Coturnix japonica: one gene and its partner. The protein of the gene in region 1 purifies or fractionates together with the protein of each later gene. This does not show direct contact. Links are inferred from orthologs where the notes say so. Each region holds a gene or a part of one and is shown in the gene's direction. Other genes may lie near its edges.

Region 1 (4,263 bases):
CAGGGATTAATAAGGAATGCAGACTGTTCTGTCTTTGGTCAAACACTAAAAGCCATATCTCCAAAGAGCACAATTGCCACAATCCTTGGCAATGAAGTTGCTAAACTGTGTGTCTGTTGAGTATGACTGCTACTTCTGTGGAGCTGGGAATACATTTACACAAGGAGTAGGACAGTCCAGTCCTGGATCATCCAGGAGTTCTCCTTTTCTTGATGTGTACATCACTGATGTACATTACTGATGTGGCCACTCTTAAAGTACTGGGCTAGAGTAGTCTGTTCTGGTTTGTCAACTCATGTTTTTGCATATACTGGCTTCACGCAGTTCTAGCAGCAAGCCGAAAGCCGGTAAAATTAATAAAGAAAGTAAATCAAGCAGAGAAAAAATGAAGAACTACCCTAGCGTGAGGTAAACAAAAGGGCTGTAGTGCTCACAGTCATGCCCAGCTTGAGGAAGTAATGGAGGAGGATAGTTCCTACCTGCCTCCTCAGCACCCATGCCTGTCTGGAGGTTATCCTTGGCTGTCCCTCAGCCCTGCAGAGGAGATGGTCGCCTTGGAGGTACTACAGCGGAGCAGAGCCTGAGGAGGAGAAAACTGTTAGCAAAGCGAAAGTGCACGTGGTGAGAGCAAGCCTCAGCACACCTGCATGTAACCACAGGCCTGCTGTGTGAAGGCAATGCTGCCACGAGACACCCAGAAGAGAGATTCTGCACCCTGTCCCAAGCTTTCTGCTTCCAGTACTGTTTCCAGCTGTGTGTGCTCAGTAGGTTTGGGGCCTGAGTCACGCTCAGTGGGTTTTTTGCATAGTCTTGTTATTTGGGTTAGTGCCTGCTCTTTTCATGCTGACACAGCCCAGAATGCATGGCACTCAAGCGTCAAACAGGGGTGACATGCCCAATTTCTGCACACCACCCCCATGCATTTTTCAAGAGCTAGGTAGGTCTATTCTCACTCTTCTTTGGTTTTGGTGAAATGGAAGGGACAACAGTTTGGTGCTCCCTGAGCCTTTTTCACCTGGATTCACAGGGCACTGTCACACGCCACCCGTGCTGCTGCCTTGGTAGGGAAGGTCAGCATTACCATCATCACTGCACAGCTGTGTGAGCAGAGGCCCAGAGGGGTTGTGTGGTTTTGCCCACACTCATGTCAGTGGTACACAACTCCCAGGCTCCCCTCTAACCACTAGACAATGCTTCCTGCCTCGTCATGTTATTGATATCAATTCAGAATAATTTTGCAAACTGGGAGGTCCCAATGGCAAGTGCAATAAGGAGAGGCAGCCAATGAGTGCAGAGCATCTTTCAGAACTAGTATCTCTTCGCATTTTAACCCTTTGCTCTTTGGCTCATACAGCTCCAGGGCCTCTCCTAACTCCTCCCCAGACACAGTCTGAAACCCACCAAGAGTAGATAGGGGTGAATGGGGAAGGGAAGTACAGAGCATTCCACATTTCTGTGCACCAGAGGGCTGAACAGTCAGAGCCTGTGAAGCAACTTCTGCACAACCCAGTCATCTAAGAGAGAACCCAGCTGATATGGAAAGGTAAAATGAACACCTCCAATTTCTTGCTGATAGAATAAATTGCCTCTAATTAAATTGCTGTCCATTTGGTGTTTACTGTCCTTTTCCCTTTCTCCATATGACTCAGTTATCTAAATCCCCACCCTGTTCTACCTTTACACCTTGCAGCTCTCTGCGCCCACCACTGTTTCTCTCTTTGACTGTAAACTAGCCTGCATTCTTTTCCCCTCCTGTCATTTCTTCCTTGTGACTATTTTCTGTTCCCTTTCATTCTTTCTTTTCTAGAAAAAGAAAAGAAAATATAACAGAAAGATGAACATTTGGATGCTGCTTAAGCATTTTGATCTCTGCCCACTCTCCACCTATTCTCCCTCTTGCATCAGGTTTCGATCTTATTCTGTTTCTGCTGCTCTCACCTTGTGCTTTCAAGCACAGACTGTTCCAGCCCTGCATTCTTCTATTTGCTTTTAAATTACTCTGCATAATTGCACATCATTCACACACACTCAGGGGCTTTCGCTCTGATTTCAGGATTGCTTCATGAATCTTTATTTGAGGAGAAGATCCCTTCTTGTGTATAATCACAGCTTGTGTATAATCACAGCTCCTGTGTCTTTGCTGCTTTCTCTCAAACTATGTGATGTGCTCCTATGCTACAGGAGTTGCATATGTAACCATCACTTTGTACATAGCTGCAGATCTTCTCACTTGCCTCCCATAACACCTGTTCATTCATTTTTCTTCTCATACTGGTCGTGCATGGTCATTTATTAGGAATGCTTCCTAATAAAAATCCCCAGCAATGGCCAAGTCTGGAGAGCAGAGATAACAGGAATTGATATTAATGAATACTTCTATGTGTACAAATGGCTCATGACTCAAAATTGTCTTGTATAGTCTTCACTTTGTCCTGACACTGAAAGGACCCAAATGTCCTTTTCTTCTTCTTGTTATTTCTTATTCTTCACTTGTTTTTGCAACACCACACTGCTCTGCAGGAGTAAGACTTCTGAAAGGATTAAAAATGGGAATATGGAAGAAAAGGGACTACAGGAAGGAAATGAGATACATTCTTAAAGCAAATGTTTTTGTGAAAACTTTACTGTTTTATTGCTCTTGCTATATAGTCCAGGTAAGAGTTTTGCAATTTTCTCACTTATCATACCAACTTATTTACCATATGATTGTCTGGGTTGTCCTTCCTAAACCATCTGAGGATCTGCCATGCACAGAAGGGGTGTGGGAAATAGATAAAGAGTGTTTATATAAGAAATTTTCCTTGCTTAGACTCTCATATTCAAATCAGAACCGCAGAAAACTCAGCTCCACATCTCTTACACTGACTCCAGCTCCCTGCTGTGAGGGAGGTGAACAGCTTACCACAGTGAACACAGCAGTCTTCAGATGTACTTCCACATTACATTGAGGCTGTTGAATAAGGCTCATGGCTATCTTCTCATTCTCATTTTCCTGCTACCTCTCCCCAGCAGGACATCTGGCATGGGTTCAGGCCCATACCAATCTCTTTGCTTACCTAGTGTGGCAATGGAACTCACACATCAAATGTGTCACCATGCCTACCCTAGTACTTATTTCTGTCAGTTAACATATGGTACCCTACCCTATCTTCTAATCCTTAGTATGGAATGCCTCCAGCCACACTCTTCCTTTGGGAAAGGATAGAAAGAAACATCCAGTCTTCTCTAAAAAGTCTCTGATTTGATCCTTTCATTGCCCCAGTGGTTATTAGGGTTTCATATAGTAGAAAGAATACACCTTGATCCAATCCTTCTCATCTTCTCATATCTTTTTTTCCCAGATACCCTCATACTTCGCTCTCATTTGTGTCCATGTTTAGGATACTTCTGCACTCTGCTCAGGCATGGTTACTGTTTGGTTAATCACTACTAATTCACTTACTGTTTTGACTCACAAGGTCAGCTCCTCACATTGGCAAGCCTCCAGTCTTCTGGGACCTCACCAGTCAGCGCTCCTTGTTGACTGGTGAGGTCCCAGAAGACTGGAGGCTTGCCAGTGTGACTCCCATTTACAAGAAAGGTTGTAAGGAAGATCCAGGGAACTACAGGCCTATTAGCCTGACCTTGGTTCCAGGGAAGGTTATGGAGCAGATTGTCTTGAGGGTGATCACGTGTGCTGGGGCCTGTCCTCTTCAATATCTTTACTGATGATCTGGATGAGGGCATTGAGTGCACCCTCAATAAGTTTGCAGATGACACCAAGTTGGCTGGAAGTGTGGATCTGCCTGGGGGTAGCGAGGCCCTACAGAGGGATCTGGACAGGCTGGAGAGCTGGGCTGAAGCCAACGGGATGAGGTTCAACAAGACCAAATGCCACATCCTGCACTTTGGCCACAACAACCCCGGGCAGTGCTATGGGCTTGGGGTGGAGTGGCTGGAAGACTGTGTAGAGGAAATGGACCTGGGGGTATTGATTGATGCTTGGCTGAACATGAGCCAACAGTGTGCTCAGGTGGCCAAGAAGGCCAATGGCATCCTGGCTTGTATCAGAAATAGTGCTGCCAGCAGGAACAGGGCAGTGATTGTCCCCCTGTACTCAGCACTGGTGAGGCCACACCTCGAGTACTGTGTCCAGTTTTGGGCCTCCCTTGTAAGAAAGACATCGAGGCCCTGGTGTGTGTTCAAAGGAGGGCAACAAAGCTGGTGAGGGGTCTGGAGTACAGGCCATATGAGGATCAGCTGAAGGAGCTGGGAATGTTCAGG
Region 2 (4,442 bases), on another chromosome or scaffold:
ATTTCACATTCCAGTTACGACTCGTTTTCTTTTTTTTTTTTCTCATTTTAATAAAAAAAAAAGGAAAACATCCGGAAACGTCGCAGCATCCAAGAAAGAGCAAGATCTGACATCATTAACAAAGTGCCTTCAATCAGGCTGTTTTCCTAATGGTTTGGCATATCAACCCACGCCTCCCCGACCCCCCCCTACCCCATCTTTGCACTCCCAACCCCCTGAGGCATCATTTACATTTCTTAATAACCCCTCATTAATATGCATGATGCGGGGAGGGCAATAACGGCTGAGCGCACACCACTAATTCAATTTCAGCAAGGCTCCGTGTGTTTAGTTAATCACCGGGGGACCCGGGTTACTCAGTACAATTATTTATAGGGAATTAGATCTGGAGGCATCTGGATTGAAAAGCAAAGCAGGGATCAAACCAAGGCAGAGATTCTCTCTGCAGTGCTATGGGGCCGTAGGGCCGTGATCTCCAGGTGAGGGGTGCAGCACAGCCCTCCTGCAGCTCTGGGTGCTGGACCTGCTTCATGTGCCAAGAGCTTCTGTTCACATCCATCCTTTCGATTATTGGAGTTGGCTGGGTGGGTGTTTTTTGATTGTTTTGTGTTTGTTTTTGCTTCTGGTTTTGCTTTTTAATTCAATATTTTGTCCCTGTGCTCGCACTGCCCTCACTGCATGAAAACACACCGTTATCCAATCCTGCCCTGCAGCAGCTCGCTGAGAATTGAGTTTCCTGGGCTGCAATAAGGCTGTGCTGGAAACACATCCAGGAGGAGCCGGCAGAAACCAAAGGCTGTTCCAATGGCAGCTGCATTGCACAGCCCTGTGCTGTGCTCACTGCCATCACATGGGGCCTCTATTGCTGCCCCTCAGAGCCCCCAAATACCCCTCAGAGCCCCCCAAATACCCCCAATACCCCTCAGAGCCCACCCAGTGCCCCCAAATACCCCTCAGTGCCCCCTAATACCCCCCAGAGCCCCCCAAATACCCCTCAGAGCCCCCCAGTGTCCTCCAGACCCCCCCAATGCCCCTTAGACCCCCTCATTGCCCCCCATTGCCCCAGCACTCGGTGAATGGAAGCCAATAGAGCCAATAATTCTCCTCTATGTATCTCAGCCCCGCAGCTCAGATTTGTGGCTTTCATTTTGCAGCTCCATCCCTTTCCCGGTCCCTGCGGGGCGCTGGGCCCCCTCTCACACGTTATGGATGTCTTTAATTCCTCTCAGCGCCCTCCTGCTGAGGTAACAACGCCGCTGGGCCGTGAACAACGATTCGGGCTCCGAGGCAATCAAGAAATACGCTCTATAAGGTTGGTGCCGAGCCGAGCTGCCCCCACCCCAATTACCACTCGCATCCCACACGTGTCATGGCGGCGCTTTACGACGGTGCGGCGTTTTGCGACAGCGCGTCTCAGCTCTCACTTTCCGGCAGAGTGGCTCCCTCGCAGTGCGCCTGCTCTCCCTCGCTTTACGGCACGGTGTCGTGCTATCCCGGTGCTTTACGACAGTTCGGCGGCGGTGGGGCCCGGTCGGTGCTATGGACGTCGGGGAGCTGCTGAGTTACCAGGTGGGATGGGGGGAACGGGATGGAAGCGGGGGGGCCCTGACCGTGCTGACACTGTGATACGGCTGCAGATCCGGCTGCCTCAGGGCTGGGATGGAGCTGTGTGTTGGTGCGGCCTGTCCGCATGTTCCCTGTGCTTTATATCCTTATTAAATGTCCAGTTATTCTTCTGTGCTTCTTAAATATCGGGTTATTATGGTTGTTTCTTGTGTTCCTTTGGCTGAGGTGAAGGAGAGTGAAGCATTATTTGTATCAGTGTTATTTATTTGTTGTGTGATGCAGTTTATACCTATGGAATGTAAAGGTAAACCTGTTAGTTACTAGTTGACTTCTGTTGGTTTTAAGCCTTTATTCAGATTTTAGTTTGGATTCTTTTTGCTTTTCTCATGCTCTGAAAATGTTGAGGCCTTCATAGCACCATCCTGCCCTGGAGCACAGTGTATGTTTGCTTTTGATCCCTTTGGTTTTCCCATTGCTCTGTGTTGGGCTCTTTGCCTGCCCTCGGTTTGCTGCCATGATGTGGAAGCAGCACATGGAGATGCACTTTGTGGCTGCCAGGTGTTGCAGCAGCTTCTCTCGCTGTTGAGTTTATCCATCAGATTCCAACTGAGATTCATTCTGCAGGTGTTCTGGTTTTGTGCTCTCCAGGTCTCAGGACACCAATGTTTCTGTGTCAGGAGGTGATGTATTGCATGAGAGCAAGAGCTGGACTTCACGTGTCCCCAGATTCAGAGCTCTGGAATTAGGTAGAAAGGTGAACAGAGGTGAGAGGGAGCAGGAGGCAGCACAGGAGCTCTGGTTCTGATAGACACAGTCCCTTCAGTGCGGTACCTGCATCTGTAACATTGGAATGAAGGCAGGGAGTGGTGGGCTTTGCCTGCAGCTGCTGTCCTACAGGCAGCACAGCAGGGCTGCCCTGTGTATGTTCTCATAACATTCAGAGCAGCCAGCCCTGTGTTGTGCCTGTGCGCATGCTGCCTCGTGTGTGGTGCGACAGAGCCAGGTCAGTGGTAGAGCTGCTGCTACCAAGGCAAGGCTGATGGGTAGCTCATAAAGCAGCTCCTGCCCTGCTCCGGTTCCACCTGCATGAAGGTTCATGCTCTCGTCTCATGGGATTCTGTATTGGGATAGCTTCATCCATCCTCACTGCAGAGCAGCAGTGGCTGTCAGGGAAGGGCTGGGTGTGATGGCTGCTGTCTGATTTTAACCTGCTGCAAATGAGTCAGTTTCTCAGCTTCCCTCAGCAAAGAAGCCCAGTTTTATATTGTTTCAAATTGTTTTCCTCTAAACACTTAATCCGTGCCTTTGCTTAATCAAGATGTTCTCCCTCAGTGCCAGGTTTGGTGTGGAAGATTTTGGGTTCTGTGCTGCCAGCTGGGCACTCGATGTCTGTCAGAATGGGAAAAGGAACCTCCTGCAGCAAAAAAAAAAGGCCAAATAAACAGACCCGGCACCTGGCAGCTTATACAAAGCTCAGTAATCCATAAACTTTATGTGTTGCTGCAAAACAGTTGCAGATGGTCTAAACTGATGATTAAATATTGCTGCTGTGCTGCCCAGAAACACTGTGCCCAGATCCTCCGTGTCTGCTTTCTGATTACAGCGGGTAATTATAGGGACAAAGCCAGCTCTGGTTATTTTCAGACATCTCTTTCAATTGGTGTGGGAGGGAATAAGGGAGATTATTTCCATTCTCGTTAAATGCAGATTTCAGCTCTGAGTGATGATTATGCATTGCTAATTTTTTAATGAAATATTTGTGAAATGGGATAACAAAAGGGGGAAGCTGTAATGGGGTGCAATTTGTGCAGCAGGTTTGTCCTGCTGTTGGAACTGGTGGAGCACTGCTTGTGATGGGATGGATCTCAGCATGTTGTTGGAGGGGCGCAGTAATTCCAGCTGCTGGCACAGGCTGTTTGCTGTGGATTGGTGACATAATGGATGTGTCTGATGGTGGAAGCAGCAGAGCTGGGCAGGCTGCTGGCTGCTCTCACTGTGTCTCCTGGTCAGAGCGTGATGGCCTCATGCTTGTGACCCCGTGCCTGGAGCTTCTTTGGTGTGGCTCCTGCAGCTGTGTGCAGACCTTGTGCTCTCTTTCTGCTTGTATCTTTGGCCATCAAAGTGGGAAGTGTGGAAGAGTCAGCCAAAGAAACCAGTGTGCTTCCCTGCCCTGCTGCTGGGGCTGTGGCACGTTGGGCTCTGTCCTTGCAGAGCATCCCAGGTCCAGGGATGGCGTAGTGTTTGTACAGTGTTTGTACCCTCCAGATAAACATGCAGCTTTTGGTCATTGTATATATTGTATGTATATTATTGTATATATTTTTGGTGGTTTGTTTCACATTTCCATATGGCAGCCATATAAAACAAGGAGGTGAAACTTCATCTGTGTGCCTCTCATAGTACAACGCTGCCTCAGGGCCTTGTGTGCCTTACTGTGGGGGAAGGTGAAAAGGGAAAGGATCTGTTCTATTAACTTAAACTGTCCATGCAGATGCAGCTCTGTTCTTCCTTCTTTCATTTGGAGCACTTGGGTTTCCTAAGGGTACCACATTGTCCTGGTACCAGTTCTCAGTCTGTAATGGGCTATAAAGAAGTGCCGTGCTTTGGTGCCAAGTGAGATTGGCAGCAGCCTGATTGGAAGCAAAATTCAAAGGCTGGAAGCAAATTTCAGAAGCCAAAGATACAGACAGAAAGAAGGTGGCTGTGGAGGTGTGAGGTTTGCTTTCGGAGCCCTGACCCAACAGCTGCATTCTGCAGTGCTGCTCTGCGTGTGTTGCAGTTGGCTGACGTGGCCACACAGCAGCAGTGTCACTTATGAAGATTTATTTCCGATTTCATGAACTAATACTTTCAGAGCTTCACAATAACAAGGTTAC

Evidence for each region.
Region 2: the proteins of AICDA (region 1) and CTNNBL1 purify together in Homo sapiens (affinity purification with western blotting; 3 studies listed by BioGRID, with this or other methods). This does not show direct contact. The link is inferred for Coturnix japonica from reciprocal best matches to the Homo sapiens genes AICDA and CTNNBL1.

What each region holds. Positions count from the first base shown.
Region 1 is NC_029516.1:68,572,295-68,576,557, reverse strand, and holds the start of AICDA (single-stranded DNA cytosine deaminase), read left to right. Parts: upstream 1-1,321; 5' UTR 1,322-1,535; coding exon 1,536-1,543; intron 1,544-4,263. UniProt on the Homo sapiens protein: Single-stranded DNA-specific cytidine deaminase. Involved in somatic hypermutation (SHM), gene conversion, and class-switch recombination (CSR) in B-lymphocytes by deaminating C to U during transcription of Ig-variable (V) and Ig-switch (S) region DNA.
Region 2 is NC_029535.1:8,600,508-8,604,949, forward strand, and holds the start of CTNNBL1 (beta-catenin-like protein 1), read left to right. Parts: upstream 1-1,438; 5' UTR 1,439-1,539; coding exon 1,540-1,569; intron 1,570-4,442. UniProt on the Homo sapiens protein: Component of the PRP19-CDC5L complex that forms an integral part of the spliceosome and is required for activating pre-mRNA splicing.